4 linked regions of the Anolis sagrei genome follow. The protein of the gene in region 3 interacts with the protein of the main gene of each other region in a pairwise test. Links are inferred from orthologs where the notes say so. Each region holds a gene or a part of one and is shown on either strand. Other genes may lie near its edges.

Region 1 (7,764 bases), on a different chromosome or scaffold from region 3:
GTTACTATGCTACTATTTGAGATTAATATGAGGTGCTACTTCTGCCAACTTGCAAAGCCAAGTATTTTGATTTAAATAGGAAAAAAGTATCTTGATAGATTGCAGACCACCCATAATTAGAAAAATAATTAGTGTAAGACTGAAATGGTGTTTCGAAAAAAGGACCATACAGAAAGGTCAGTACAGATTAAGTATCCCTTATTTGAAATAGTTTGAACTAGAAGTGTTTTAGATTTTGGATTTTCTTTTCATATTTATGTTTCATATAGACACATGCAGAGCCTGAAGGTAATTTTATACACAATATTTTTAATAATTTTGTGCATGAAACAAAGTTTGTATACACTGAGCCATCAGAAAGCAAGGGTGGCACCAATGTAGACAATTGTGAAGTATTTTGGATTTCTGGATAAAGGATACACAAGCTGTAGTTGTAGATTGTATATAGTACAGGGCTTTTACAAGTTTAATCCTGAAGAAAAAGGATAGAATACAATGAAGGCTCAGAAGATGACCAACTTAACCTCCTTGACCTTCCAAATATCAAGATAGCTATCAATTTCAAACATGGCTATTGCCTCACTATAGTAGAGAATCATGTGCATTGGAGGAGCATCTGAAGACAGACTTAGATTTGGGCACTTTGCTTTGCTATTTTCTTTGTTTTCCTCCCACAAGGGAACCAATGTGTTGGAAGGGGACAACTGCAGGTGAAACCTGCTTGACATAACTTCGCTTCATGGAGCTTTCTGGTACCAGATATTTTTGAGGTTTTGTAGAGCATGAAAGTTACAATAGTACTGTTCCAAATTCCATGTGGCACCCTAAATCAGTGTGGAGATAAGCATTAGAGTTGTTCACGGAACTATTTTCCTTCGGTACATCTGTTCTTTCATTACTTTTGTTATCTTCGAGAGCATGTAACAGAAGGCCCCTTCCGCTATAAAAATCAGCTCGATACGAAAGCAGGTGGGAGATGATCCCAGCTCCTCACCTGCTTTTCATGAGCATGTGGCACTCCATGCCTTAGAAAGAGTGCATGTGTGGCATTCAGGCCCAGAAAGTGCATATGTCTACCTGTAGTCAAGTGCCTCCTCTAGAGTAAGAAACAGGACTTGCCTCCTTGCCTTGGAAAGAGCATGCGTGTGGTGTACAGGCCCAGGAGAAAAAATGTGCATGCCTGCCTGCAGCTGAGCACCTCTCCTCTAGAGTAGAAATAGGTAAGAAGCCTCCTTAAAGCATGCACCTGCCTGCAGCTTAGCACCTGTCCTCTAGTGTGAAACAACTTAACTGCTGAAAAGGATGGAAAGGGGATCCTAGGAAGTCCCCACCCCCATAATGGGCCAATAGAAAATCGATCTTTCAGCACCCCAGAGTGAAAACATATATCTGCCCTCCTGATTTCGGGAGGCTCTCAAAAATGGATTGGGGCCCCCAACAAAAGCCGGGGCATGAAATGGGTCAAGGTTTATCCCAAATGCAGAAGCCTAATAAGCATACGAGAACACAAATGGGCAGCCTTCAACCCATAGGCAGCAAGTGGCCCCTTTTTGTATCCTTGAAGACCTCTGGACAATTCAAAGTCCCCAAATGCCCCTTCCCCCAGTGTAATTTTTAAAAAGTGTATATTTCCCAACCCACCATCAAAATGTACTACAACGTGGCAGCTTGGAATAATTTGCCCATCAGTGACCATCCTTCCCAACCTGGACAAATAACACAAAGTTGGCTGAAATCAAATTTATTTATTTATTTATCTGAGTCAATTTTAGCCCCACTTTTCTCCTGCAGCAAGGCGAGACTCAAAGCCACTAACAATACAATAAGAACATACAAAGTAAAAATTAAAACAGATTAAAACTCAAAAAATTCCTTATAGCAATCTGATCTAAAACAGTCAGCAATAAAACCCTATTTACAAATATAACATAAATATTTAAAACAACTACTCCATTGGGAGCCAAGTTCCTGTACTCTTGGAATCTAGAGAAACAATTTCTGAATCATAAGGAATTTAACACAGTGGCCAAATAGGGATGGGGAGGAAGTTGGCTGCCATTCTCAGTGCAGTTGTTCATCTAGAAACTGAAGTTTGTTGCCTTCCTAGTCCATAAAAGGATGAGGCATCTCTGGCTGGAGGCTTTCATCTTTCAGCCTTCCAGCTCCTACTACTTCATATTTTTCTATTTTAATTTTTTTCATCCCACATTGCTAGGAACAGAGCCAAAGAAGTAGCCAAATGAGTAGATGAAATAGTATCATATGACATGAAAGATGAGTGTAGAAGATTGGGATGGAAATATTCACTTATTTCATTCTGCCACACAGGAGCCCCTGGTGGCACAGTGGGTTAAACCCTTGTGCCGGTAGAATCGAATCTGGGGAGAGTGTGGATGAGCTCCCTCTGTCAGCTCCTCCCCATGAAAGAAGCCTCCCACAAGGATGGTAAAAAATTGGAACATCCGGGCATCCCTGGGGCAGTGTTCTTGCAGATGGCCAATTCTCTCACACCAGAAGCGACTTGCAGTTTCTCAAGTTGCCCCTGACATGAAAAAAAAAATCCTCCACACAAGAAATGATATTTTCAAAGAAAAATGTTATCTTGCTTGGGTGTAGGTTTGCCACAGTCAGAACTGAAGAGGGCTTCTATACCTTTAGTATAGAAGAGGAAATTTCAGCAGGTGTTGCTTTTACCTGATTGTGCGATAAGCAACACCTGCTGAAACGCCCTTCATTACACATCATTAAAAGTGTCGGAGCCATCTCTACTTTTCAGTCTGGCAATTCTAATTGGATAAATTTATGAAAGGTTTTGCACATTTTCAAATGATATTTTCTTTTCCAGGGCATTCTGTGAAACATTAGTTGGCTAAATATCTTGGGTTTTTGTGCCAAACTTGGCTTTCCTACAGAAGACAATGTCTTTTGCATACAATATGCCATTTTCTGTACAAAACTATTTTCTATATAAAAAACTAAAAGAGTCATAACAAATGTTTGCTTTTTCACCAAAAGTCCCAAATTATGATCTTTTTTAAAGTTGACAGAAGGAAAACTGGAGATGCTCCTCTACCTTTAATGGTTGTGCTAGGAGATAATTTTAGCACCTACTGCTTGTCATAAGCAACACCTTCTGAAATTCCCTTTTCTATAAAACCATTAAAGGCACAGGAACTTTAGATTCCAGAAGTGGTGACCAACTGACCATATCATGAAGATATGGTCAGTTTCAAAAGAGATATGTGTTTCAAAAGAGTCAGCATAGTGTAGAGGTTTGACCATAGGACTATGACTCTAGTGGCCAGCTTTTGAATCTCCTCTCAGTCATGAAAACCCACTAGGTAACTGAGCAAATCACATGTTCTTAGCCAAACAAACTCCCGTAAGTCAGAAATGGTTTGAGGACACACAACAACAAATATTTTTCAATTTGTTGAGGTACCCTTTCTTGTCATGAAAAGGAAAATACGTGTGCATTTATTTTAGGGGTCTGCATGATATCAGGTTGCTGTTCCATATTGGGGAATTTGGTCGAATTGACAGCAAAATCCCCAGAAATGGGGTGGGTGAGGGCAGCCAAATATTCCCAGAGTGAAAACAGAACTTTTGGATGACTAATCAGGAAACATTATTTCCTCACTCCCGAATTTGGGATTTTCCCAATAAATGGGAGAAGGGCAGAAAACGGGACCAGAAATGGGATTTTTTTTAATGAATCGCACACTCCCAGTATATTTACACCTCTAGTGGAAGCAGAGATGTGGTAAAGAGGGCAAAGAAGAAATTATGGTCAGAATCCTGTTGAACAAAAAATACAGCAGTAAAATTGGACTGTATTATTTTCTTCAGCACATAATAAAGAATGCAACAGAGTGAAATTGGGCTCAAAATTTGGCTGAAGAGAAATGCATCTGTTTTCTATCCCAATAAGATTCTCTTGGTTCTCAGAGTCTAACTAAAGAGCTTTCCCCCCATTGTTAATATTTTGATGCAACAGATGCATTGTGAGCACTGGATGTATTGTGAGCACTAATGGATTTTGAGCACCATTGTGAACTTTGTGATGTTTTTGGTAGGGTTCCTCAGCTGTTATAGTGTTTACCTGAATAGACAGTCTTGATCTGAGACTGGTGGGAAGAGGCTTTGGCAAAATACATGCAAATTAGCTGTTGAGAAAGAGACATTTTGAGTTTCAATATGGCTTGAGAACAAAAGTGTAGCAAATGCAGGGATGAAGACATTGCTCTCCAAATAAAAATTTCTCATTCACCCACGAAAACATTATTTCAGTCTCCAAACTTTTAGCATTGTAGGAATTTCAACTGTCCACTGAGCCTTTAGAAATTTTATTTCAAGTGTCCAAAGAAAAAACCGGGCACACAAAGTTAACAAGTTAATACAAACATGGCAAAAGATAGGTATTAACCATGATCACTCTCTGAAATGCTAGAAATACTTCTCAGAGTGGCAAATCTGCCATTAGGTCGCTGTTTGTGAAAGGTGATAGTAGGTATTCATTGACAAAAAAAAGTTCAGTAGCTGATTGGATGCATGCAGAATCTCAAGTTGTTTGTTTATTTAGCTGCTGAATTTTACTTTTCCATAGTACTGCCTGGAAAAAGAAGAAGACAGAGAGTTCCTCTTCCATTCCTCCCCCTTTCCTGCTTTGCCTTGGGTCTTGGTGGGAGAGACTGCCCCTTGAGTGACCTGCTTTTGATAAGCTTCCCAGTCAGATCACATGAGTGAACCGTGCTCTTTCTCCCCTCCCTCCCTTTCTTTTCTCTCACTGGCTGGCTCTCTCTTTCACTCACTCTCTCGCTGCCTGCTTTCTCTATAGTCAAAAGCAAGGATCAGATTCTCTGCCTTGACTATAAACATTCTTGGTGAGAAAATTCAAAGGGAAGAGCAGGTGCATTGAGAAGGAGTAGAGGAAGATCCAAAGCTCAGTGTGGGAGGAAAAGAGTCCATCGTTTCAAGGAGGGCAAGAAAAAAGAAGTGGCAAACCACCTCTCTCACAGAGCCAAGGTGCACCAAAGCTCAGGACTCATCGCTGAGAGCAGAAGATAGTTGGACAGAGACGGGAGATTTTCTTGCTACTCAAAGTAAGTACACATTGGTTTGGCTTATTAAAGTCTGGCATTTACTAGCCCTCCTACCATCCATCTCCACCCCAACCAAAAATGAGAAAGTTGGGCAGAGATGCTAAGTTAACGCCAGGTTGATTTTTCTTTTGTGATACTATTTTAGCTTAAAAGGTTTTCATGGGTGGAGGAAGTTGATCGAGTGAAAGACACTTTGAGTTACTTGAAGATGTGTTTTTTGAATGGTGCTCTTCTGTCTAATGATGGGAGTGGTTGGCATCCTCCGAAAAAAAAAAAGACTTGCAAAGCTCTGAATGCCATATAGCATGCAATTCATTCTTCATTTGAGGAAAACTGAATATGGTTTGAGCGTTCCTTATCTGGAATCCTAAAATCCTCCAAAATCTGAAATTGTCCACATGGATGACAGATAGTTTTTGATAGTTCAACATACACAACCTTTGTTTCATATGCAACATTGTTAACAATATATTATATCAAATTACTTTACTGCTATGTCTATATGGTACAATGAAATGTAAATTATTTTTGTATTTATATGCACATCTAGTCTCCAAGATACTTCATTATGTATATATATGCAAAATGGCTATACCAAAATTGAAAACATTAGTTCCAAACATTGGAATAAAATTTACTCAATTTGTATTAGGATAGTACACCTACTAGAAGTACTGGTTTGTATCAACTCAAAAGGAGTCACATGAGGCAGGAATGTAAGTACCCTTCTTTAGTTCTTTCTCTCTTCTGTCTGTTTGTTATGAGAACATTGCAAAAGAAATCTAAAGATCTATCTAAAAATCTACCTAACCCCCCCAAAAATCAGTATATTTTGAGCCTTGTTGGTATCATTGGATAGGGTAAAGAGTTGAGTGATGTGTAGAAGAACCTGTTTCTCCTCAACTCTTAATTTGGAAGAGTGTATGTCCTTGTGCCCAGCCTTAAGCAGAGGGTGGAGCTTTCCTTACTGTCATCAGTACCAGCTCGTGTTGGTTACTTTTCCTTCTGCTCTGCTGGATGCATTGACATTTATAGGCTGATGACAACATGCTTACAGAGTATTGGACTCAGAATGAGTTTTTCTGGTGTAGCAATGTTAAATCATAATGTTCTGCTTCTTTGGTTCTACTTCTGAATCTAACTTGACAAGAAAGTTTATATAGTGCAATGCTATTATTGGTATGAAGGCCAGAAATTTACTGTAACAGGTTTTTCTTTCCTGTTCATATCTCAAGCTTCTTGGAAATAGCTCAGGTGAGCGTATGTATATACATACTAGAGATCAAAAGCATATTTGTAAACTTTCTTGCCTTCCCCTTCCACACACACACAAACACACACACTTCCCCTTTTCCCATAGAATTCAAGATGGCTAATATGGATATTCCAAGCACTCTCCTATCCAGGGCATTAACTAGCTTCAGGCCTGCTAGCCTTAGGGTGGTAGCTGCAGGTACTTTCAGGTGATGCTCTGGGAACAGAAAGTTACACGAAGGAAGTTATATATTGTTTCTCAGAAGTTGTGGAAATAGCATGAAGGAAGGGAGAATGGAGTGGCTAAAAAGTTATAAACAACGTCAACAATATTAAAGGCTAAAGTTGAGTCTCCTGGGTTCCAGTGTGAAAACACTACATAAAAAGTTGTGAACTGTTCTTTTTTCTTACTGTTACCATCCTGTTGTGTAAAGACCATCTGGGAGTTTAAGGCCGAGTACTTCTGGAATACTATGAAAAACATTACAGAGTAGTCACAGAATGTAGTTTGTCCTGCCATGGGTCTCCATGCAGTTAAAGAATTATAGGAAGAACAAAATGATTTGAATGAGAAAGTCAACTAAAGGTGATTTTATCCAGAATTTTGTGAACCAACTGGCTTTGTGGATTCTTTAACAAGCCTCAAGATTTTGTGTAGTAGTATTCTTGAAAAGCATCAATCAAAACCAGTCAAATTACCCACCCACGCTGTGGCATTCATGTTAATTAAAGTGGACTGGTTCCTGGAAAGATCAAATATCTGAAGTTTGAATAATGGATTCAAGCTTTCTTATCCAAAAACTGTCCAATTTGGTCTGGAAGCAGTTGCAACTGCAATTGCCCCAACCAGTCCTCATCAACCCCCACACTTGGAAACAGTTAAAAGAAAATATTGGCATGCATTTCCTGCCCACTATTGTTGCATTCTGGGTATTACCCCCTTTCTTGGAACTGAACAGCCAAATCAGGATGTTGTTTTTCAGGGATTCTGTTTCATCATTGGTACTCTGATTTCAGAGCACATCACAGAGTTCAATTAAAATCTGGTTTGATGTTTTAAAATTAGGGTTGCAACAATTAGGGCATGCATACATGGCTCCTACATTCAGAGAAGAAGAAAAAACTAGAAATGAAAATCTGCTGCTATTTCCCACTTTCAGATGTTTTAAATCTCAAATTCTTTGTAAGAACTTGCCAGGAATGAAACAAATGCAATGATCAGCTATCTGTACTGGCCAAATTCAACAGGAGAAGAGTGTATCATTTCTGCCTGGTATGTATCCGTTAAAGATAAAGAATGAATCAGGACAAACAGTGGTGGTGTACCTAATTTAGTACACAAATGTGATTCAATACACAGTGATTAAAAACTATATAAGTTATAAGATTTAAACATCCAGAGCCCTAG
Region 2 (7,098 bases), on a different chromosome or scaffold from region 3:
TTAGAAGCCCGAGAATACACCTCTCCAGGAATCTCTAGGTTCCTCAGCATGATTCTATGGTCAACTTCGGCTAGTATCATGCTGGAGCAATCTAGTGATTCCTAGAGAGCTGGTCTTGGTCCTCCAGTGTGATTCCGACAGAAGTTGCACTGGAAGGCACAGATATTCTCATGAGAAAACATTTCAATTAATCAGTGCATACTCAAATCACCAAATCAAAACCTGAAAATATGGGAAGACTGACTGTATACAATATATACTGTAGGACCCAACATAAATGGGCCGGCAGAACATTGGTTAAGTGAAAATGTTGGATAATAAGGAAGGATTAAGGAAAGCCTATTCAATACATATTATAATTTTACAAATGAAGCACCAAAACATCATGTTTTACCTGGAATGAAAATGCAATCAATACGAAAGGCAGGGGTGGGAGTGGGTACCAGTTCCAAGCCTGCTTTTTGTATCAATTGCCTGGGGCCTGGCAGTGCCTGCAGCCGAGCACTGAGTAAGAAGTGCTCCTTACTTGGTGTTTGGCTGCAGGCCCTCCCAGGCCCAGGCATGTAGGCCAGGAAGCCTGCACCCATAGGTACGAAGTGCCCAGTCCTACAGGTGCAAGCTGTGGGGCTATGCATTCGGCCTCGCAGGGCCTGCAGCTGAGCACTCAGTAAGGAGCGCTCCTTACTTGGCACTCAGCTGCAGACCTTGCAAGGCCCAGGTGCATAGGCCCAAAGCCTGCACCCACAGGCTCAGGCAGTTTGGGCCTACGGGTGAAGTCTCCTCCCTCAACAATAGGCTGAAAGAAAACAGATCTTTTGGCCCTGAAAACAAAAACAAAAATATCTGACCTCCCGAATTCAGGAGGCTCAGACAAAAACGGATTGGGCCCCCCACCTAAAGCCGGGACACAAAACGGATTAAGGTATGTCCCAAATGCACATGACTACTAGTCATCATGAAGATAATAAAGCTGTCTGAGACTGAAGAAAAGAGTAATAAAACCAATTGTGTGGAATACCACACATGCAAAATAACTTTTTCTTACATTGAGCCTCCATTTGTCTACATAAATTGCTTTTGGTTCTGACATTTTCCTATGTCCAGACTTAAGGGTTTAAAGGACTTCAAAGCACTCATGCGTCAGGGTACAAAAATGGCTTTATAAAGGTACAATAACAAGTTTATATATTAACAGGAATCAAGAAAATATTACCTTTCTACTCCACTAGCAGTGAACACATTGAATCTGGAACTTGAACCAATTATCAAGTACTGTATCTACCTCTAAATTGCTTAGCAACCAACCTACGAACCCATTCAAAACATTTTCCTGGTACATAAAGATTTAGGTGTGACTAAATACTTATTTTATTTTGTTACTTCATGTATCTTATTGTGATGTAATTTTTGTTGCTTTCTATTTTATTTTGCTGTATTGTATTTTTGGGCTTGGCCTCATGTTAGCCGCCCTGCGTCCCCATTGGGGAGATGGTGGCAGGATATAAATAAAGATTATTATTATGCACTATAAGAGGGTTTTGCTAGACCAGTCATTCTCATTGCAATGGTGTAGTAACAGTGAGGATGCAGACCATATTTTAGTCCTGGTGGTCCATAGATCCCCAGGTTTTTTGTGTGTGTCAGGAGTGACTTGAGAAACTGCAAGTCATTTCTGGGTGAGAGAATTGACTGTTTGCAAGAACATTGCCCAGCAGATGCCCAGATGTTTGATGTTTTACCATCCTTGTGGGAGGCTTCTCTTGTGTCCCTGCATGGGGAGCTGGAGCTTGACTGACATGAGCTTACCCTGCTCCCTAGGTTCGAACTGCCAACCTTTTGGTCGACCAGTTCAGTTGCGTAAGGGTTTAACCCAGTGGTTCTCAACCTGTGGGTACCCAGGTGTTTTGGCCTACAACATCCAGAAATCCCAGCCAGTTTATCACTTGTTAGGATTTTTGAGAGTTAAAGACCAAAACATCTAGGGACCCACAAGTTAAGAACCACTGGTTTAACCCATTGCACCACCAGGGGCTCTTGACCACAGGACATAAAGGGATAAATACCACACAAAATTGGGAGGCTTGCGAAAGCGGGTTGGAGGAAAGTGTTGGGGGTGTAGTTGAGGGTCGGCAACCAAACGGGCACGAGAATGAATGCTGCCTGGCATTACTGTAACCGCTATGGAATCCTGGGAGTTTGGAGTTTGGTGAGGCGCCGGCACTTTTTGGCATGTAAGTCCCAAGGCATTGTGTGCAGGCACGTGAAGCGGCGCCAGGCTGCATTAAGTCTGCGTGGGGGTCAAGGGCCACGCCAAAACTCACCATGAGGGCGTCTCGGCCCATGCCGCCGCCGCCACCTCCGCCTCCACCGGGTCCTCCTCCTCCTCCTCCGGGCCTCATGGCCGGGTTGAGAGGGTTCCCCCCGCCTCCGGGGCCTCCTCCTCCTCCGGGGCCGCCTCCTCCTCCTCCGCACCTGCCGAGCATCCTTCCCCGGAGCGGCTGGCGGGAAGCGGGCCCGAAGGGCAGTAGGGGCTCGGGCTCCCCGCGCGGGGGCAGGAGCGGCGCCAAGAGGCTGACGGGCTTCCCGGAGGGCCAGTCGGGGCCGCGGCCTCTCTTGGGCGACTGCTCAGGGCCCGGCCGGACGCCCTCGCCCGGGTTGAGCTGCATGAGGGGGGGCGGCTTGGGCAGCGAGAAGGGCAGCGCCTGCGGGGAGGCCGCCGCCGAGTCCCCGCCTGACATGGCCGGCCGGGCGGCCTCCCTCCCTTTCTCTCTCGAGCGAGCGCCTAGGCCCGGCCTGCCTGCCTGCTTGCCTGAGGAGAGGGGCGCGGAAGGAACTCCCCGGGGGGGAAATTTGCGCGCGGAGTGGGGGGAGGGGGGCGGCTTTGTCGTCGAAAGTCAGCCTACGGCGCGGGCGGGGCCGAGAAACAAACAAAAAAACCCTCTTGTGTCTTCCTCGCCGCAGGAGGCCAAAGCGGCGCGGGCAGGCGGGCAAGGCCGGGCCTCGTCCCACCAGAAGAAGGCCTCAGGCGGAGGAATGGGAAGCACAGGCGGGAAGGGGGAGGGGAGGGAAAAAAAGAGACGGGCCGCGCAAAGGACACTGGGAAAGCGGCTTCCGCTAGCAGGGCTACGGAAGCCCAAGAGGGCCCTTCCTTAGCCCAGGGAAAGGAGGAGGGGGCGGGCAAAGAGAAAGGAGAGCCGTTGTGAGGGTTAAGAAAAGGGGAGGGTTCAAGGCGCGGAGCATGATGGGAGGCCACTCGTTGCCGTTACGCAGGAAAAGGCGGGGCTTCTAGATTTCCCCACCCACCTTTTTTCTTGCCTAGACTTCCGGTGTAGGCCGAGTGGTGGGCCTCTGCTTCCCCCGCCCCTCCTGCCTGAGTGTTCGGTTGCCATGGCAGCGTCCTATCGGGGCTCCAGCCAGAGCGGGCCTAGCGCGGCTTGGACGCCGGACGGAGGCGGGGTGGCGCGGACCCTGGAGGCGGACTTCGAGGAGGAGGAGGAGGGCGAGGGAGGGGGTGCGGGAGGCGTGCTGGGCGGCCTTGGGCGAAGCTACGAGGCCTCCCCCGCGAATTCTCCTCGGGCGGGCCTGCTCGGGGTGTCGCTCCCCGGGCGCCGGTGGCCCAGCAGGATCTGCGCTGTGTTCTGCTGCCTCCTGGCCGTGACCTTCCTGGCCTTCTTGCTCGCCCTCGGCTGCCTGGTGCTGAGAGGTGAGCGCTGGGGGGGCGGGGGGCGCTCGGAACCCGCCGAGAAACGCCAAATTGGGCCCTCCAGGAGTTCTGGCTCCCCACTCCCACAATTCCAAACAGCCCCAGGCCCCGTCCTTCCCCCCCTCAATCGCTTAAGCCCCAAAGTGGTTCACTCCTGAACTGGATCTGATGCAACATGGCTGCACTGGAGGAGGAATGCAGTTTGACACCCAGTTTAACTGCCATGGATCAATGCAATTCTTCCCAAGAGTTATAGGTTTACAAGGTCTTTGGCCTGTTCTGCCAGAAGCCCCATCTGCACTTCCATTGAACTGCATTCTATGGCAGTGTAGACTCGTATAATACAGTTCAGTACAGTGACGTACATTATACAGCATTGTAGATGGGGCCAAATGTCCCCCTGGTGGCACAGCAGGTTAAACTGCTGAGCTGATGAACTTTACTGACTGAAAGGTCAGCGGTTCAAATCCAGGAAGCGGGGTGAGCCCCCACTATTACCCTCAGCTTCTGCCAATCTAGCAGTTCGAAAACATGCAAAATGTGGGTAGATCAATAGGTATCACTTCTGCGGGAAGGTAGCAGTGCTCCATGCAGTCATGCTAGCCACATGACCTTGAAGACGTCGACGAACAACACCGGCTCTTTGGCTTAGAAATTGAGATGAGCACCCCCCACCACCGCCCAGAGTTGGACACGAATAGACTTAATGTCAGGGGAAACCTTTACTAGATGGGGCCAAAAGGTGCTGGTGCCTCACCAAGCTCCCAGGATTCCATAGCATTGAGCCATGGCAGTTAAAGCGGTGTCAATCTGAATTAATTCTAAAGTTTACTGTCACCCTACGCAAGCATAGTTATGATGGGTCATGCGTGATTGGCTAAAGGTTCACAGTGAGTTCACAGGAAAGCAAGACTCAGTTGTAGCTTATTAATACAAATATAGTGCCAACCTCTGGAATTTTAGAAGAAAAATATCCCCCATATTGGATAAACGGATACCTCAGTCTTTGCTATTATTATTTATAGTATGTGCGTAGTGTTTGTCGTCGCATTGCCTGTGAAGGGCAAGGAATACTCAGAGGTTTTGATAGTTTCTTCATCTGAAATAAAGTATACAGCATCCATCAATCCTTGATGGTCCTTTATCCTTGTAGTAAGCAGTATTGATACAACTTCGCTTCCAAGATCAGAGAAGATCTGGTGCTTTTAGGTATTTAGGCCCCTGCTTCATAATATATTGGATGGTTACACGCCCTGGTGTGTGTGTGCATGCACATGCCTTTAGACTACCTGACTGTTTATGGCGTTCCCATGTATTTGATTGGGTTTTCTTAGGCAATGAATACTCAGAGGTGGTTTTACCAGTTTCTTCCCTGAAATACAGCCAACAGCACCTGTTGGCTGTATTTCACTGGGAGCCTCCCATCTAAGTGCTAACCAGGTCTGACCATGCTTAGCTTCCAAGATCATATGGGATCTGATTCTACACGATATACATATTATTTACCACATTCAAAGCTAAATTTCACTCAGGCATTCTTGATGTCATAGGAGTTTCTATGTACATATATTTATAGACAGGTGAATGTACCCAGGCTACAGCATAGAGAAGTTCAGGAAAGAGAGGATGTGGCCAATTTTCATGATTGCAAAGAGACAAAATGATTTTCTTTTCTTAAAAAAAACATAAGCAAGATATTCAAAATGTTTTCTGAGGGTAGGTCCCAGTGGCTACTGTAGATAACCATGCCTTCTCCTTGCAGATTTGAGATATGAAAAAGCAAGGGCTGAAGATACTGTAGAAACAAGTATTTTAGGTAAGACATTTTTAAAATTCATTCATTGTGGAACACTTACTGGTGCATTACTCATTCTTGGATCAATGACTGCTATATTTTAAAAATGATTCTTTTTTAAAGGAACAGTAAAATTATCCAACACCTTAATTAATAATCAAAATAAATATCCTACATTTGAGGTTTATAATGTTCAATGAGTGCTAATATGTATTCCATTCATATTCCAAAAAAATATTTCCAAGCATGCCTACATTTGTAAATTTAAAATTATAACAAATCATGTATGCTGAAATCACATTACAGTTATCTTGATTTATGCCTTAAGTGTCTTATGTTATTCTACCCACTCACTTAGTATAAAATGAATTATTAAGTGCTTTAGAGTGAGGTGGGTATAATGTAACCACAAGACCATAATTGAGGTCACCACCACCTATATTTTTAAATTTTTCCTTAAAACCAAAAACAACTTTTAAGTTTTCTCTTTCACAAATGTGCTTGCTCTCCTTGGTCTGTTATAGTCTGGAGGAGGAGCTTTATATAGAAGCAGAAGTTATTCTTCCTCATTTAAAAATGCCTCTTCCTCCTTTTTTAATAAGGGTCCTCCTTCTTTCCTTACATTACATTTTTATAGCACAATGTCTCACGTCTAACTATCATGGCAACATATTGTAGATTTCCAAGGTTTTTAGTTGGGGGGTGGGGAAAGACCTCTGTGGTGGAGAATCCTAGGTACTCTTCCCTAAACTTCAAATCCCAGGATCCTTTAACTACCATTGGTATGGTAGTTTATGTGAAACCATACTGCTATAGCAATCTAGTGTTATAAGGATCTCAGTCTAAACCAGCAGAGGATAGGAAAATCAAAAACATAGTGAGATTGCTCACCTTAGAGGAGGTAATTATGAGTATAATGATTTTTTTTTTCCAAAAATGGGATTGGAATGACAAGCACTGTGTGGGGTGGGGGGATATACGTTCCATTGAAGGCAACATATATTCCCTGTACTTTGAAAGCTAACTCCTTGTTTGCTATGAATAAAGCAGTCAAAAATACTATGAAGCTACTATCTGGAGCAAGGTTCCCAGGAAATTTTTATGTGACCCCAGCTATATAGGTATATAAAAAGTTATATAAATCAAACACTTACTAATAAATCAGCATTTGCAAGGCTTGCTGAACAGTCTGGTTTTCCTTTTTTGTGCAATATAGCTACAGCGATTTCTGCAGAGTTGTTGCTAACAGAGTTGTTGTAAATATCTAGGTGGCATTCAGAAAGAAAATTGTTACCAAATTTGTCGTGAACCCAACATAGAGCTAAGGGGACCCCATTTGAGGCCAGAACCCTCAGTTTAAGAAGTAATGGTCCAGGTATTATATGGGAATATTCCACATTCATCATCTGAGTAAATATGTGTAGATAGAATTGTATTTAGACAATTGTATGCCTGTTACCTCCTTTGTTTTTCTACTTTCTAGCAATAACTCCTGTGTATTATCTTTTTAATGTTGTATTTTAAGCTTTCAATGTTTACTACTGTGCTCTTCTTTTGCAAGGATTTTGGACTCTTCTTGTTCTGTCATTAATGGCTGGGC
Region 3 (6,825 bases):
TAGATCACCCCAAGCCCCCTTCTTCTGCCCAAACTTGGGGCCATGAGGTTCTAGATCACCCAAGCCCCTTCCTCCACTCAAACTTAGGACCATGAGGATCACCCAAACTTAGGATCACCCAAGCCCCTTCCTCCACTCAAACTTAGGACCATGAGGTTCTAGATCACACCAAGCTCCCTTCTTCTGCCCAAACTTACGACCACGAGGTTCTAGATCACCCCAAGCCCCCTTCTTCTGCCCAAACTTGGGGCCATGAGGTTCTAGATCACCCCAAGCCCCTTCTTCTGCCCAAACGTAGGACCATGAGGTTCTAGATCACACCAAGACCCCCTTCCCCCGCCCAAACTTAGGACCATGAGGTTCTAGATCACACCAAGCCCCCTTCTTATGCCCAAACTTGGGACTGTGAGGTTCTAGATCACCCCAAGCCCCCTTCTTCTGCCCAAACTTAGGGCTGTGAGGTTCTAGATCACCCCAAGCCCCCTTCTTCTGCCCAAACGTAGGACTGTGAGGTTCTAGAACACCCAAGCCCCCTTCTTCTGCCCAAACTTGGGGCCGTGAGGTTCTAGATCACTCCAAGCCCGGCCCCTGGAGACGAATAGAATAAAGCTTTCTACTCCTGGCCCTGCCCCTTCCTAAGCCCCACCCCCTTGAATACTCATAGGTTGGCTCTGAGCCCCGCCCCTCTTCCTAGCCCCGCCCATGAATACAAATCCTTCTCAAGGAAAGGCTTATTCTCCTTCTGGCCCCTCCCCCAACCGGAATACTAATAAGTTTAGGAAAAGGCCCCGCCCCCTCTCTACAAACCCCGCCCCCTGGATACAAATCCTTCTCAAGAAGAGGCTTATTCTGCTTCTGGCCCCGCCCCTCTTCCTAGCCCCGCCCTTCCCTCTTGGCCCCATCCCCTCAATATAAATCCTTCTCAAGGAAAGGCTTTTAAAAACCTCTGGCCCCGCCCTTCCCTGAATTCTAATAGGTTGACACTTGGAAATGGCCCCACCCTCTCTACAAACCCCGCCCCCTGGATGCAAATCCTTCTTGAGGAAAGGCTTTTTAAAACTTCTGGCCCCACCCCTTTACAGGCTCCACCCACTACTTGAATATTAATAAGGTCACTCTAGGAAATGGCCCCGCCCCCTCCCTAGAAACCCCGCCTCCTGAATACAAATAGTTCTCAAGGAAAGGCTTATTCTGCTTCTGGCCCCACCCCTTTCCAGGCCCCGCCCCCTCCCTGAATACTAATAGGTTGACTCTATGAAATGGCCCTGCCCCTTCCTGGCCCCGCCCCCTGAATGCAAATCCTTCTCCAGGAAAGGCTTCTAAAAACTTACAGCCCCGCCCCCTTCGTGAATACTAAGAAACTAGGAAATGTCCCCGCCCCCTCTCTAAAACCCCACCCCCTGTATACAAATCCCCGCCCCTTAACAGACCCCTCCTCCTCCTCACTAAATAGTAATAGGCTGACTCTAGGAAATGGCCCCGCCCCTCTTCCTAGCCCCGCCCCCTGAGTACAAATCCTTCTCCAGGAAAGGTTTTTCAAAACCTCTAGCCCCGCCCCTTTCCAGACCCCGCCTCCTCCCTGAATTGTAATAGGTTGACTCTAGGAAATGGCCCCGCCCCTCTCTTCAAACCCCGCCCTGTAAGCAAATCCCTCTCAAAGAAAGGCTTATTCTTCTCCTGGCCCCGCCCCTTTCCAGACTCTGCCCCTCCCTAATAGGTTGGCTCTAAGCCCCGCCCCCCGAATCCAAATCCTTCTCAAGGAAAGGTTTTTTCAGACTTCTAGCCACGCCCCTCTCCAGGCCCCGCCTCCTGAATACTAATAAGTGGACTCTTGGAAATGGCCCCGCCCCTCTCTACAAACCCCGCCCCCTGAATGCAAATCCTTCTCCAGGAAAGGCTTATTCTTCTCCTGGCCCCGCCCCTTTCCAGGCCCCGCCCCTCCCTGAATAATAATAGGTTGATTCTAGGGAATGGCCCCGCCCACTTGCTAGCCCCACCCCTTTCTACAAACCCCGCCCTCTGAATGCAAATCCTTCTCCAGGAAAGGCTTATTCTTCTCCTGGCCCCGCCCCTTTCCAGGCCCCGCTTCCTCCCTGAATACTAATAGGCTGGCTCTAAGCCCCGCCCCCTAAACGCAAATCTGCTCGTGGCTCCGCCCCGCCCCCTGCTCACCTCCCTGAATAAGTAATAGGTTGAGTCTAGGACATGGCCCCGCCCCTCACTGAATACTAATAAGTTGATTCTAGGGAATGGCCCCGCCCCCTTCCTGGCACCGCCCCTTTTCTTTAAACCCCGCCCCCTGAATAGTAGGAAAGGCATTTTAAAACTTTTTGTCCCGCCCCTTTACAGGCCCCGCCCCCTGAATACTAATAGGGTGGCCTTAAGCCCCGCCCCTGCATGCAAATCCTTCTCCTGGCCCCGCCCCTTCACTGAATACTAGGAAATGGCCCCGCCCCCTCTCTACAAATCCCCGCCCCTTTACAGGCCCCTCCTCCTCCCTTAATAGTAATAGGAAATGGCCCCGCCCCTCTTCCTAGCCCCGCCCCCGAATACAACTCCTTCTCAAGGGTTATTCTTCTCCTGGCCCCGCCCCTTTCCAGGCCCCGCCCCTTCACTGAATGCTAATAAGTTGAGTCTAGTAAATGGCCCCGCCCACTCTCTTCAAACCCCGCCCCCCAATTCAAATCCTTCTCAAGGGTTATTCTTCTCCGGGCCCCGCCCCTTTCCAGGCCACGCCTCCTCCCTGCATAGTAATAGGCTGGCTCTAAGCCCCGCCCCCGAATGCAAATCCTTGTGCTCGATGCCCCGCCCCCGGTCTCACCTCCCTGACGGAGAGTGTCTCCGGGGCGAGGAGCTCCTCCTTGTCCTTGGGGGTCTTCACCGTCACCCGGATCAGCGCGGGGCGACCCTCCTGCGCCCCCTCCGGCGCCCCTCCCTCCCCGGCAGCCCCCGCGACGCCCCTCAGCTCCGCCATCCCCGCGCACTGGCCCACTTCCGGCCGCCCCCAGGCACACTTCCGGCGGAGAGAGGCGCAGAGGGGGCGGGGCCACGCCGAAGCCACGCCCCTCCCCTCCGCTTCCCCCAAAAGAAGAAGAAGAGGGAATATCTCTGTGGAATGATGACCAGGGTGGGGCAAAGGACTCTTGCCTGCTGGAGCTAGGGGGGAATGTTTCAACTGACCAACTTGATTAGCATTGGATGGCCTGGCAGTGCCTGGGGCAATCTTTTGTTGAGAGGTGATTAGGTGTCCTTGTTGTAGGTTTTTGTCGGGCCATATGGCCATGTTCTATAGGCATTCTCTTCTGACGTTTTGCCTGCATCTGTGGCAAGCATCCTCAGAGGGAGTGAGGTCTGTTGGAAATAGGAAAAACGGTTTATATATCTGTGGAATAATGACCAGGGTGGGACTAAGGACTCTTGTCTGCTGGAGCTGGGTGGGAATGTTTCAACTGACCACCTTGATTAGCATTGCATGGCCTGGCAGTGCCTGGGGCAATCTTCTCTTGAGAGGTGATTAGATGTCTGAGTTGTTGTAGGTTTTTTCGGGCTATATGGCCATCTTCTAGAGGCATTCTTTCCTGACATTTCGCCTGCATCTGTGGCAAGCATCCTCAGAGGTAGTGAGGTCTGTTGGAAGTAGGAAAATGGGTTGATATATCTGTGGAATAATGACCAGGGTGGGACTAAGGACTCTTGTCTGCTGGAGCTTGGTGGGAATGTTTCCACTGACCACCTTGATTAGCATTGGATGGCCTGGCAGTGCCTGGGGGAATCTTTTGTTGAGAGGTGATTAGATGTGCCTGATTGTTTGCTCCAAGCACTGTCTGGCCATTATATGCTGTATTATTAGTATCATTATAAATAGGTAAGAATGAGCACAGATTATGATAAGAAGAGGTCAGAATAGGTTGTATTATTATTATTTATTGTAGAGAATGATAATAATGGATACATATCAATAATAATAATAATAATAATGGCACACAAGATAGAACAGGTTGTGGATTATAATAATAATTAATAATAATAATAAGGTATATATGTATTGTCGAATAATGAATATAGATTATGATAAGAAGAGGTCATAATAGGTTGTATTATTATTATTATTATTATTATTATTATTTATTGTAGAGAATGATAATAATGGATACATATCAATAATAATAATAATAATAATAATAATGGCACACAAGATAGAACAGGTTGTGGATTATAATAATAATAATAATAAGGTATATCTGCTTGGTGTGTAGAGATATATCTGTCTATTTGTGTGTCTGTATATATATTTGTGTGTTTGTGTAGAGATGTCATTTTTATAATAAATTTTATTAGATTATAATAGATATATAATATAATTATAATTATATGTCATATATTATAATATTGTATTGTATTATAGTATAGTATAATAGAATAGAATACAGTACAATATGGCACAATGGACTACATATGGCCCCTTCAGATAATAATATATCATATTATAATAATATATCATATTATATCATATTATATATCATATTATAATATTGTATTATATTATATTATAGTATAATATAATATAATACAATACAATATGGCACCATGGACTAGAATGGCCCCTTCAGATAATAATAAATATATATAATAGAATTAAATATAATATAATTATAATATAATTATATATCATATCATATAAATATATTATCATATTGTATCATATTATATTATAATATAATACAGTGCAATATGGTGCTGTGGACTAGATGGATCCTATTATTAGGATTCTATTATTATTATAATAAATATATATAATATAATTATATATCATATATTATAATATTGTATTATATTATATTATCGTATAATATAATATAATACAATACAATACAATATGGCACCGTGGACTAGAATGGCCCCTTCAGATAATAATAAATATATATAATAGAATTATAATAGAATTATATATAATAGAATTATAATAGAATTATATATCATATCATATAAATATATTATCATATTGTATCATATTATATTATAATATAATACAGTGCAATATGGCGCTGTGGACTAGATGGATCCTATTATTAGGATTCTATTATTATTATATTGGATTATAATAAATATATATAATAGAATTACATATCATATCATATCATAATATTGTATTATATTATATTATCGTATAATATAATACGTTATCATCAGCATATTGGAGTTCCATAACAGACTTTGTAGGTCTTCTTCTGAATGCGCACAGACTACGTTATCATCGGCATATTGGTCAAGATGTAATTTCCCTTTCTTTGTCTGTTTGTTAGCCGATGTAACTGTAAGTAGTTGTGAATCCAATGTAGTTGCAGAAAATCTGTATCTGTATGTCCAATGTGTAAAAGTTCTATAAAAGTTCTGATATATAATTAAATCCAATTAAAACTTTAAACTAAACTGTTTTAATGTATATTCCTGTTCTAATGTATGCTAATTGTACTTTATGTTATGCAGACATGTTCTCAATAAAGAAAATAATAAATCAAAACAGTCTGTATATATTTATATAGGATGAAACCGGCATCTTCTAATGCCAGGGACAAAGATGGAAGGAGCACTTCCTGGTGCCTAACTGCGCCTGCGTGGAGCCAGAGACAAAGATGGAGCCTATAACCCAGCCAGGGCTTCCTGTGCGAAATGCCAGTGACAAAGATGGAAGGCACACGTCCCGGCTTCTTGGTATCGAACTACGCGTGCGCAGTGCCAGGAACAAAGATGGAGAGAAAGCCCAAGCACAGCATCCCATTCTGCGCCTGGCTTCATCGCCTCCCTACTGCCCAACTGCGCATGCGCAACGCCAGGGACCAAGATGGAGGGAAAGCCTATGCCCGGCATAAGGCAGCCAGGACTTCTTGGAGCCCGACTGCGCAGGCGCAGTGCCAGGAGCAAAAATGGAAATGGCGCAATTATTTAAAGAGACATGACACTTTTAAATAAAAATAGTCTGTATAAACAACACAATGGATTTACACCTTCTGAATATCAAAACAAAACGAAACAACCGTGCTATCAACAACCAAACAGCCAACAATCACCATTTTGAAGCATCATCAGCACAATCGCTACTCCAAAGACAACCCATCCCAATTGGGAGTTAAACCGGAATCAAAGTGGTATAACTGTCCAGTGTGGAAAGGAGATTTAATATTTATATATATATATATATATATGATTATATAATATATAATAATAATATATTATAAATAATATAGTAATTATATTATATTACATAATTATATATAATTATATAATATATTATATAATAATAATAATAATAATAATATATTATTATTATTAATAATAATATATTATTATTATTAATAATAATAATAATATATTATTATTATTATTTCCTATCCGAACAATAAGCTTTAGATTATATATTATTAATAATATAGTTATTATATTATATAATTATATATAATTATATAATATATTATATAATATATAATCATAATATATTATTAATAATTGTTATATTATTATTTCCTATCCAAACAATAGGCTTTAGATTATATATGTTCTTGATAATATAATTATTATATTATATTATATAATTATATTACATATTATATTATATATAACAATATATTATTAATAATAATTGTTATATTATATTATTATTTCCTATCCGAACAATAGGCTTTAGATCATATATTATTAATAATATAATAATTATAATTATATTTAATTTTATAATATATTATATTATATATAATAAATTATTATTAATAATAAATTATATTATTATTTCCTATCCAAATAGGCTTTAGATTATATAATATATTATTA
Region 4 (7,603 bases), on a different chromosome or scaffold from region 3:
ACCTCTATTGCTTTACTTATAAAAATTCATGAAATTTACTAGACATAAGTAGCAACTTACTATCTTAAAATGAAGAATGGGAATTTCATATTTTGGTACTTCCTATGGTTTTTTTTTTTTTTAAATTCTGGATGATGAAATATAAAAAAACATTCCTCTCTAAGATCCTAGTATTTCATGTGTATCCATGAAAAACACTGAAGTCAGAGACAAAAGTGATATGGCCACTTTGCCACAAACTTTTTCTTGACCATAGAATTAGATATGATTCTTCTTTGCCAAAGTTTCTAAAAAGGATTCAACCTGAATGATATTCAAACAAGACTCCAGTATTTCTTGTAAATGTTCCTTGAGTATTTTTTTTTGTTTCATTGGAATTTCTCCCTTCTCAATATCTCTCTGCTCATGCCCCTTGGTGGAAGAAAAATGTTACATCAAATTTGAGCTGTTTCTGTGTCCTTGGACTTGAAAATATAAGAGAAGATAGTATGCCCTTATTGAATAGCTGAGCTAGATTTGACTTCTTGTCAGCGATTTGCTTGGTTTGAGAGATACTGAGCAGATGACCTCTGCAGATAACATGCCCTTGGTGTGGCCTAACCCAGCACATGACTGCAGTGGGAAACTGAGCACACAGTGAATATGCATTTATGCAAACAGGATTGGCATCAGGAATAATCACCAATATCTACTGAAGTGCATGGCCAAGTGAGGAGGGAAGTGGAGTTCTCTCAGTATCCAAAACACCTTGATTTTGACCCTATTCTTGTATTTCCTTCTCCACTAGTGCCCTCCATTAGCAAGGGATCTATGACAAGAACAACAAGAAGGGAAAACGATGCAGATTTGGCAAAGAAAAACAACATGGACTGAAGGATGTTTGTGTTTTTAAAGACACTGTGTGCATCAACAATGCAGAATGCATGCTGTTCGACAGCACTGCCATGCCTCGATGCTATGGAATTCTGGGATTTGTAGTCTGGTGAGGTGCCAGCACTCTTTGGCAAAGAACTTGCAAAGCTACAACTCCATGACTTCATAGCATTGAGCCAAGGCAATTAAAGTAAACTGCATTAATTCTGTAATGTAGATACATGTTCTGTCTCACATTAGGAACAACTTCCAAACTATCCAAGATGTTTGACAGTGGAATACGGCATACGGTAGAGTCTCCTTCTTCAGAGGTTCTAAACAGAGGCTGGGTGGCCATTTGTCAGGAGTGCTTTGACCGTGTATTCCTATATGTCAGGGGACTAGATGGCCTTTGTGGTCTCTTACCATGATGTGATTCTGTGATTCTATAAGCTTTTGCATGTAACTGCATGGAGATGAATATTGCATCTCCATTATAGCACCATGGAATTCTACAAGAACTGAAATTACTGGAGGAAAAATCTTGGCTAATAAAAATAACCACAGGCAAATGCGGCAAAAGTTTGTAGAAATTCTAGTTAGAGAAAAAGCATTAATTTGGCAGAGGAGCATAAGCTCTCTACCAAATTAATGAGTTGCTAACAGTTTTGTTTTCTGCCTGACTTTGTCAAACACAGAATTAATGGGTTGTGTAATCAATCCATTCCTCATTCGAAGGCATTATTTGGACAGAACAAGCTAGAATTTCCAAGTCAGGAGTGATCCTATTACTCAGTCCTGACCCTGAAGGAATAAAAGTGATGAATCAGGGGACATCAGCATCACAAATTGATGAATCATGATGGCAAGGCAGACTGATGGGGAAGCTGGCACATCTCCCTGTCTGCTCACAAGGTTAATGAGAGAGAAAATCAATATGAAAACATTGCACCAAAGTACATTTGAGGAGAAACTCTTGAAGAGGCAAGTGGGCACCTCAGCCTTTTCAGCTATTAAATGCAAGGATAATGGGACTGTTATTAGCCAGGAGTGTGTGGGTTAATTTGAAAAGGCATTTTATACAAAATAATGGTGCAGAAAAGGTGGTGGAACATCCTCTTTGGAACTCACAGAACTTCATTTAAGACTGGATCTATGGGAGCTCTGCTTCCAAAACACATGAAGTAACAAAGGAATGTCCTTGAGACAAATACAGAATCACTTTCCATCACTACTGAATGACTTCATTGTGTCGCATCTTATCTGGAGCTATAGGAAAGGGTTGCCAATTTGTTGCCATTTATTCCTCCTGCCTTTGCAGCTAAATGAGAGGATGAACATTTAACCATTGAATACACAGCTTTTAAAGGCACAGGAGCCCAGACAGCAAAACAGCTGGCAACCCTTGTTTCCAAAGCACAAAACAGCACATTCTGGCATGCTTATTTCTTATGTTTTTAGACTTCTCTTCTTCACAGGATCTCAGGACAGCATGCATCATATACCCATCTTAAGCTAAGAAAGAACTAGCTCAAAATCTCCCAATGAGTGGGGATTTGAGCTCTGTCCTGTAACCTAACAATTTGCTTGTTCAGTATATTGACCATAGAACAACGCTGGCTTCCTTTAGGTGTAAAGTCTTAGATTGCAAACACTAGCAATTTATTAGCAGGGTTGGCAGAATATAGAATACCTCTTGTGCCCAAAATATGTGACATTCAAAATCATCAGTGGTAAAATGCAGGAAGACCAAATTTGTAGCTCTAAGTGGCACTTCAGCACTCCCTCCTGCAAACCACTTCCTCCTTAAATCCTTTAATATTCTTCCAAGTGGAAACAGGAGAGGTGCTGGCAAACACATTTAATACTGTGCTCACTGTTCCCTTTCTCTGTCATGATTCATTGAGGTTGTAGGAATTTGCATATTTAAAGCCTCCCCCAAGTATTTGCTGCATCACATTCAACTCTATGAAAATATAACATAATCCAACAAGGAATAATAAAAAAGAGCATAAGTACCTTAAGTTAAGCTTGGATCTGGAGGGTAGCTTCAGGCAGAGGTCTGATGCTAACTGCTTTGGTGAAGCTCAAGGCACTGCCTAAGGCTTGCTTCAGAAGATGCTGCTCAGTCTTCTTTCTCCTCTTCGGCTGATTTCTATCTGCAAACCTCTGGAATTTAAACTCTAGTCCAGACATCGGCCAGCCAATCCTCGGCAGGCGGAAGGGATGAGGTCATGAGGTTTCTTGTCACTGTCCTCCCACTATTCTCCTACATTTCCTTTTGGGGTTTGTGGCTTCCAGAGCAAACAAGAACCTACTCTATGGTTAAAACATGACTTATGTACAATCTCATTAACCAGAGCTGGAGATCAATGCCCAGCGTTCAGTCTCGAGCCAAAGGGTTTTAGAGGCTAAGCTCTCTTTGGCATTTATGAGATGGAGAAATAACATTGCTTCCGGTGCCAGTTTTTTTTTTTAAATGGATGGAGAACAACATTGCTTTAAAACAAATCAATAGGTGCTCAGGATGGAGCAGGTCAAATTTAACCAACCACACTGATGGATTTATTTATTACTATGTTTGTTTATTGAAATTATACACATAAGTATTGCCAGAAAATACATACATACACACACATGTGCACACAAAAATATATATGATGAAAAGGCTTGTAATAAATTTGTTTGTAAATGTCTTAGTGTTTTTTTATTTTGGGAGTTTGGAATTTAAAAAAGTAAGAAATAGCGACCTTTTTCAGAGTAGAATAATCTATGTATTTAGCTGGTTTTCACTGGACTACTAAAAATTCCTTGTCACTCTTCTGGCGCAAATGAGTGATATTTTGAAATTGATTCAGAAAGCTGAAACAAATTGTCCACCAACCCTGAAGGCATGGTTTCTGTCTATATTCACACACACACACAGCTAGCCCATATTGCAATCACACCTGGTAATTCCTACATTCTGGGGAAGGGAATCCATTCTAGATTTTATTCTGAACTGTAAAGAAAGCATCTGAATCTGTTTTTTGTATTGAATTTAGCACCTTGGATAGATCCTTTAAAATACAGACTAAAACCTGAAGTGGGTTTATGGCCCTCATTTACTTACATCTCACATTACCTAGAAGCATTTGGATGCCATTAGCTAGATGTCACAACCTCTAAGGATCCCTGCGATAGATGCAGGCAAAACATCAGGAGAGAATGCTTCTAGAACATGGCTAAACAGCTTGAAAAACCTACAACAACCCATTAGCTAGACTGCTGCATGAAAATCAGCATAGGTTGCAGTATCCACAAGGAGAATTAGACTCACAGGGGCAGAGGGTTGAAAGAGATCCCAAGAACCTTCCAATTCAATCTCCTTCAGCCATGCAGGATTATGCTATCAAAGCACTCAAGACAGATGGTCATCCAGCCTCTGATTGAAAACCTCAAGAGAAGGATACTTAATTAAAGGTCAGCCATTTGTTCTGGATATCAGTTTCAAGTGGGAAGGCACAAGAAGGGCTGGTCCTTCTGCTAGGCAGTGAATGGCAATCAGCTCAATCAGCAAGTGTTTCAGTACCACAGTGGTAGTGATTGTCCCTTAAAAATATCATGGATTAGCTCTGACTGTCAATGGCAGCTAGGAGTGTTTTTGCTTCATCAAACTGACTTGACAATAATCACCCATGCCTGAATGAAGTTACTTTTTTAAAATTTATTTATTCACGTCGCTTCTATCCCGCCCATATCAGCCCGAAGGCGACTCAGGGCGGCGTTCAGATTGGCAACAATTAGATGCCATATATAAAAATACATACATCGGTTAAAAGCAAAAAATCACATCACAATACATTTAAAAATATAAAAGCAATAAGCAATAAAAATTATAAAAACTATGTCTTCTTGTTCAATTCCTCAACCGTTCCAACGTCTTAGCCATTCCTAGTTCATATTCCAATTTGAGTTTATCTGGTCATGCTGAAGTTCCAAATGCTTGCTAAAGAGCCGGATTTTCACTCTTTTTCGAAAGGTCAGGAGGAAGGGGGCTGATCTAATATCCCTAGGCAGAGAGTTCCACAGCTGAGGGGCCACCACAGAGAAGGCCCTGTCTCTCATCCCCACCAGACGTGCCTGTGAAGCAGGCCGAATCGAGTGCAGGGCCTCCTCAGACAATCTCAAATTCCTGGAAGGTTCATAGTGAGAGATGCGTTCAGATAGATAAGCTGGGCCAGAACCATTTAGGGCTTTATAGGCTAAAGCCAGCACTTTGAATTATTCCTGGTAGCAAACTGGCAGCCAGTGGAGCTGGCGCAGCAGCGGAGTTGTATGCTCCCTGAGCACAGCTCCCGGTAGTAACCTGGCTGCTGCACGCTGGACCATTTCAAGCTTACGCACATAGAGAGCATTGCAGTTGTCTACACAGGATGTAACCAGAGCGTCAGACTTCCCAAGGTACAGGCGCAGCTGGTGAACAAGCTTTAACTGTGCAAATCCTCTCCTGGTCACTGCCAAAACCTGGGGTTCCAGGCTCAGCGATGAATCCAGGATCACACCCAAGCTGCAAACCTGTGTCTTCAGGGAGAGTGTAACCCCATCCAACACAGGCTGTAACCCTATTCCCTGTTCGGCCTTACGACTGACCAGGAGTACCCCTGTCTTGTCTGGATTCAATTTCAATTTGTTTGCCCTCTTAGGCGATCCCTCATTGTCCAAGTAGGATAATCCTCCAGGGTGGGTCCATAGGTGTCTATGGAGCCTAATTCTTGATCTGCATCGTCTCTCACAGGGCATTGGATTCCAGGTGGAAAGCGGTCCTGGTCGGGGTTGGCTTGATGCACCTTCCTCTTGGCACATTTTTCTCTTTTGCCCTCAATTCGTGCCTCATTCTGCAGCACTGCTGGTCACAGCTGACCTCCAGCTGGAGTGCTCACAGGCCAGGGCTTCCCAGTTCTCAATGTCTATGCCAGAGTTTTTAAGGTTGGCTTTGAGCCCATCTTTAAATCTCTTTTCCTGCCTGCCAACATTCTGTTTTCCATTCTTGAGTTCGGAGTCGAGCAACCGCTTTGGGCGATGGTGGTCAGGCATCTGGACAACGTGGCAGGTCCAGCGGAGTTGATGGCGGAGGATCATCACTTCAATGCTGATGGTGTTTGCTTCTTCCAGCATGCTGACATTTATCCGCTTGTCTTCCCAAGAGATTTGCAGGATTTTCCAAAGGCAGCGCTGATGGAATCATTCTAGGAGTTGTTTGCCCTCATGCAGACTGTCACAGTGGCCAAGCACCAGTTCATGACCTGAACAGCCTCCTTAGTAACAGGTGGGAAGGAGTGACAGAGTTGGACATCATCTGCGTACAGATAACACCACACCCCGAAACTCCGGACAATCTCCCCCAGCCGCTTCATATAGATGTTAAATAACATGACTACTGCAATGCATTCTATTTTGACTACTGCAATGCACTCTTTGTAGGACTATTCCCCTGTTTTTTGTTGTTGTTGTTTTGAATAGAAACTTGCAAACAAGGCTCTATTTTGCAGCTGAAATTTGTGGAAAAATCAAGGGGGTCACACAGTCCTGTGTGCTATGAATCTGCGCTGGCACATTCTTAATCTATCTCCCTTTCCACATAAATATGTGTGTGGCTGGCTAGTCTTGTAAAGACTCCAGAATTTCATGCAAAATGTGGCAGCTAAACTGATAACTGGGGCAGGATGACAAGATAATATTATTCTGCTACTGAATGATCTGTGCTGCTTCCAAGTTGCTCTCTTGGCTCTATTTAAGATGGTAGTTGAACTTCTAAAGCCACGAACAGCTTGACAGCTGGTTATCTTCTGTCAGTCTCATTATGAACTTTGGATGATAAGATAATATCTTCAGGAGAGGCCCTTTTGGGATTTGTGTACAGGCTCCCAAATTGTGAAATGCCCCCTCCTCATATTCTGGAATGTGTTTATGACAAGAATGTGAAGATCCTTTGAACTGTTTTGAAGTTTAAAGCCATTTGGGCCTCTAAAAGCATTTCAAAGTTTATTGAGCTCAACAGTTTTATTATTTAATGGCTGTAATCTGACATCTCCTAAGTGTAGTGTAAATATGCACATTTAGAGATATGCTGCACAAACACTATACAATCCTCTTGAAGGATAGCAGTATTGTGAAACAGGTGTCAATGACCAGATGCCATTGTGCAATGCACAATCACAGTGTGCAATGCATAGGGCATACTCACAAAACACAACATTGCTGTACACCAACTCCTTTTGTGTTTATGTCAGTGAAAAAGTAATTTGCCCTATTGCAAATAATTTATGCTGTATGTATGTATGTATTTACAGTATTTATAACTCACCCATCTCACCCCAAAGGGGACTCAGAGCAGTTTACAGAACACACATATGGCAAACATTCAATGCCAATTATACAATTAACAAGGACAGATAACAAAGCAGAGGAAAAGGCAGTTTTTCCCATCTAATTTCTGACATCTTGGAGGCTGTGCTCAACTCCCGCCATGGTGCGTGTGTGTGCTGTTGCTTCATCTTCCATGCCGAGGAGCTTTCCTCTGATCGATGTCCTTAAAAACACCTTTATTCCCTCCCCACTAACAGTGGTACCTATGTATCTACACGCATGTCTGCTTTTGACCTGCTAAGTGGGCAGATGAGCTGAGGCTAACAGCGGGTGCTCACCCCGACCCGAGCTTGAACTGCTGGACCTTTCAAACAGCAGGATTTTTCTGCAGCACAGTGATTTA

The links.
Region 1: the proteins of UBQLN4 (region 3) and PTN interact in a two-hybrid assay, tested with the Homo sapiens proteins (2 studies listed by BioGRID and IntAct). The link is inferred for Anolis sagrei from reciprocal best matches to the Homo sapiens genes UBQLN4 and PTN.
Region 2: the proteins of UBQLN4 (region 3) and PRPF40A interact in a two-hybrid assay, tested with the Homo sapiens proteins (2 studies listed by BioGRID and IntAct). The link is inferred for Anolis sagrei from reciprocal best matches to the Homo sapiens genes UBQLN4 and PRPF40A.
Region 4: the proteins of UBQLN4 (region 3) and SPP1 interact in a two-hybrid assay, tested with the Homo sapiens proteins (2 studies listed by BioGRID and IntAct). The link is inferred for Anolis sagrei from reciprocal best matches to the Homo sapiens genes UBQLN4 and SPP1.

Annotation. Positions count from the first base shown.
Region 1 is NC_090025.1:174,648,200-174,655,963, forward strand, and holds the start of PTN (pleiotrophin), read left to right. Parts: upstream 1-4,758; 5' UTR 4,759-5,102; intron 5,103-7,764.
Region 2 is NC_090021.1:204,090,467-204,097,564, reverse strand, and holds the start of PRPF40A (pre-mRNA-processing factor 40 homolog A), read right to left. Parts: upstream 3,018-7,098; 5' UTR 2,739-3,017; coding exon 2,322-2,738; intron 1-2,321. Other genes in the region: ARL6IP6 (ADP-ribosylation factor-like protein 6-interacting protein 6), read left to right, coding at 3,388-3,703, 5,466-5,519, 7,060-7,098.
Region 3 is NC_090032.1:22,790,030-22,796,854, reverse strand, and holds the start of UBQLN4 (ubiquilin-4), read right to left. Parts: upstream 3,014-6,825; 5' UTR 2,975-3,013; coding exon 2,822-2,974; intron 1-2,821. UniProt on the Homo sapiens protein: Regulator of protein degradation that mediates the proteasomal targeting of misfolded, mislocalized or accumulated proteins.
Region 4 is NC_090025.1:20,057,205-20,064,807, reverse strand, and holds the start of SPP1 (osteopontin), read right to left. Parts: upstream 3,017-7,603; 5' UTR 2,872-3,016; intron 1-2,871. UniProt on the Homo sapiens protein: Major non-collagenous bone protein that binds tightly to hydroxyapatite. Appears to form an integral part of the mineralized matrix. Probably important to cell-matrix interaction.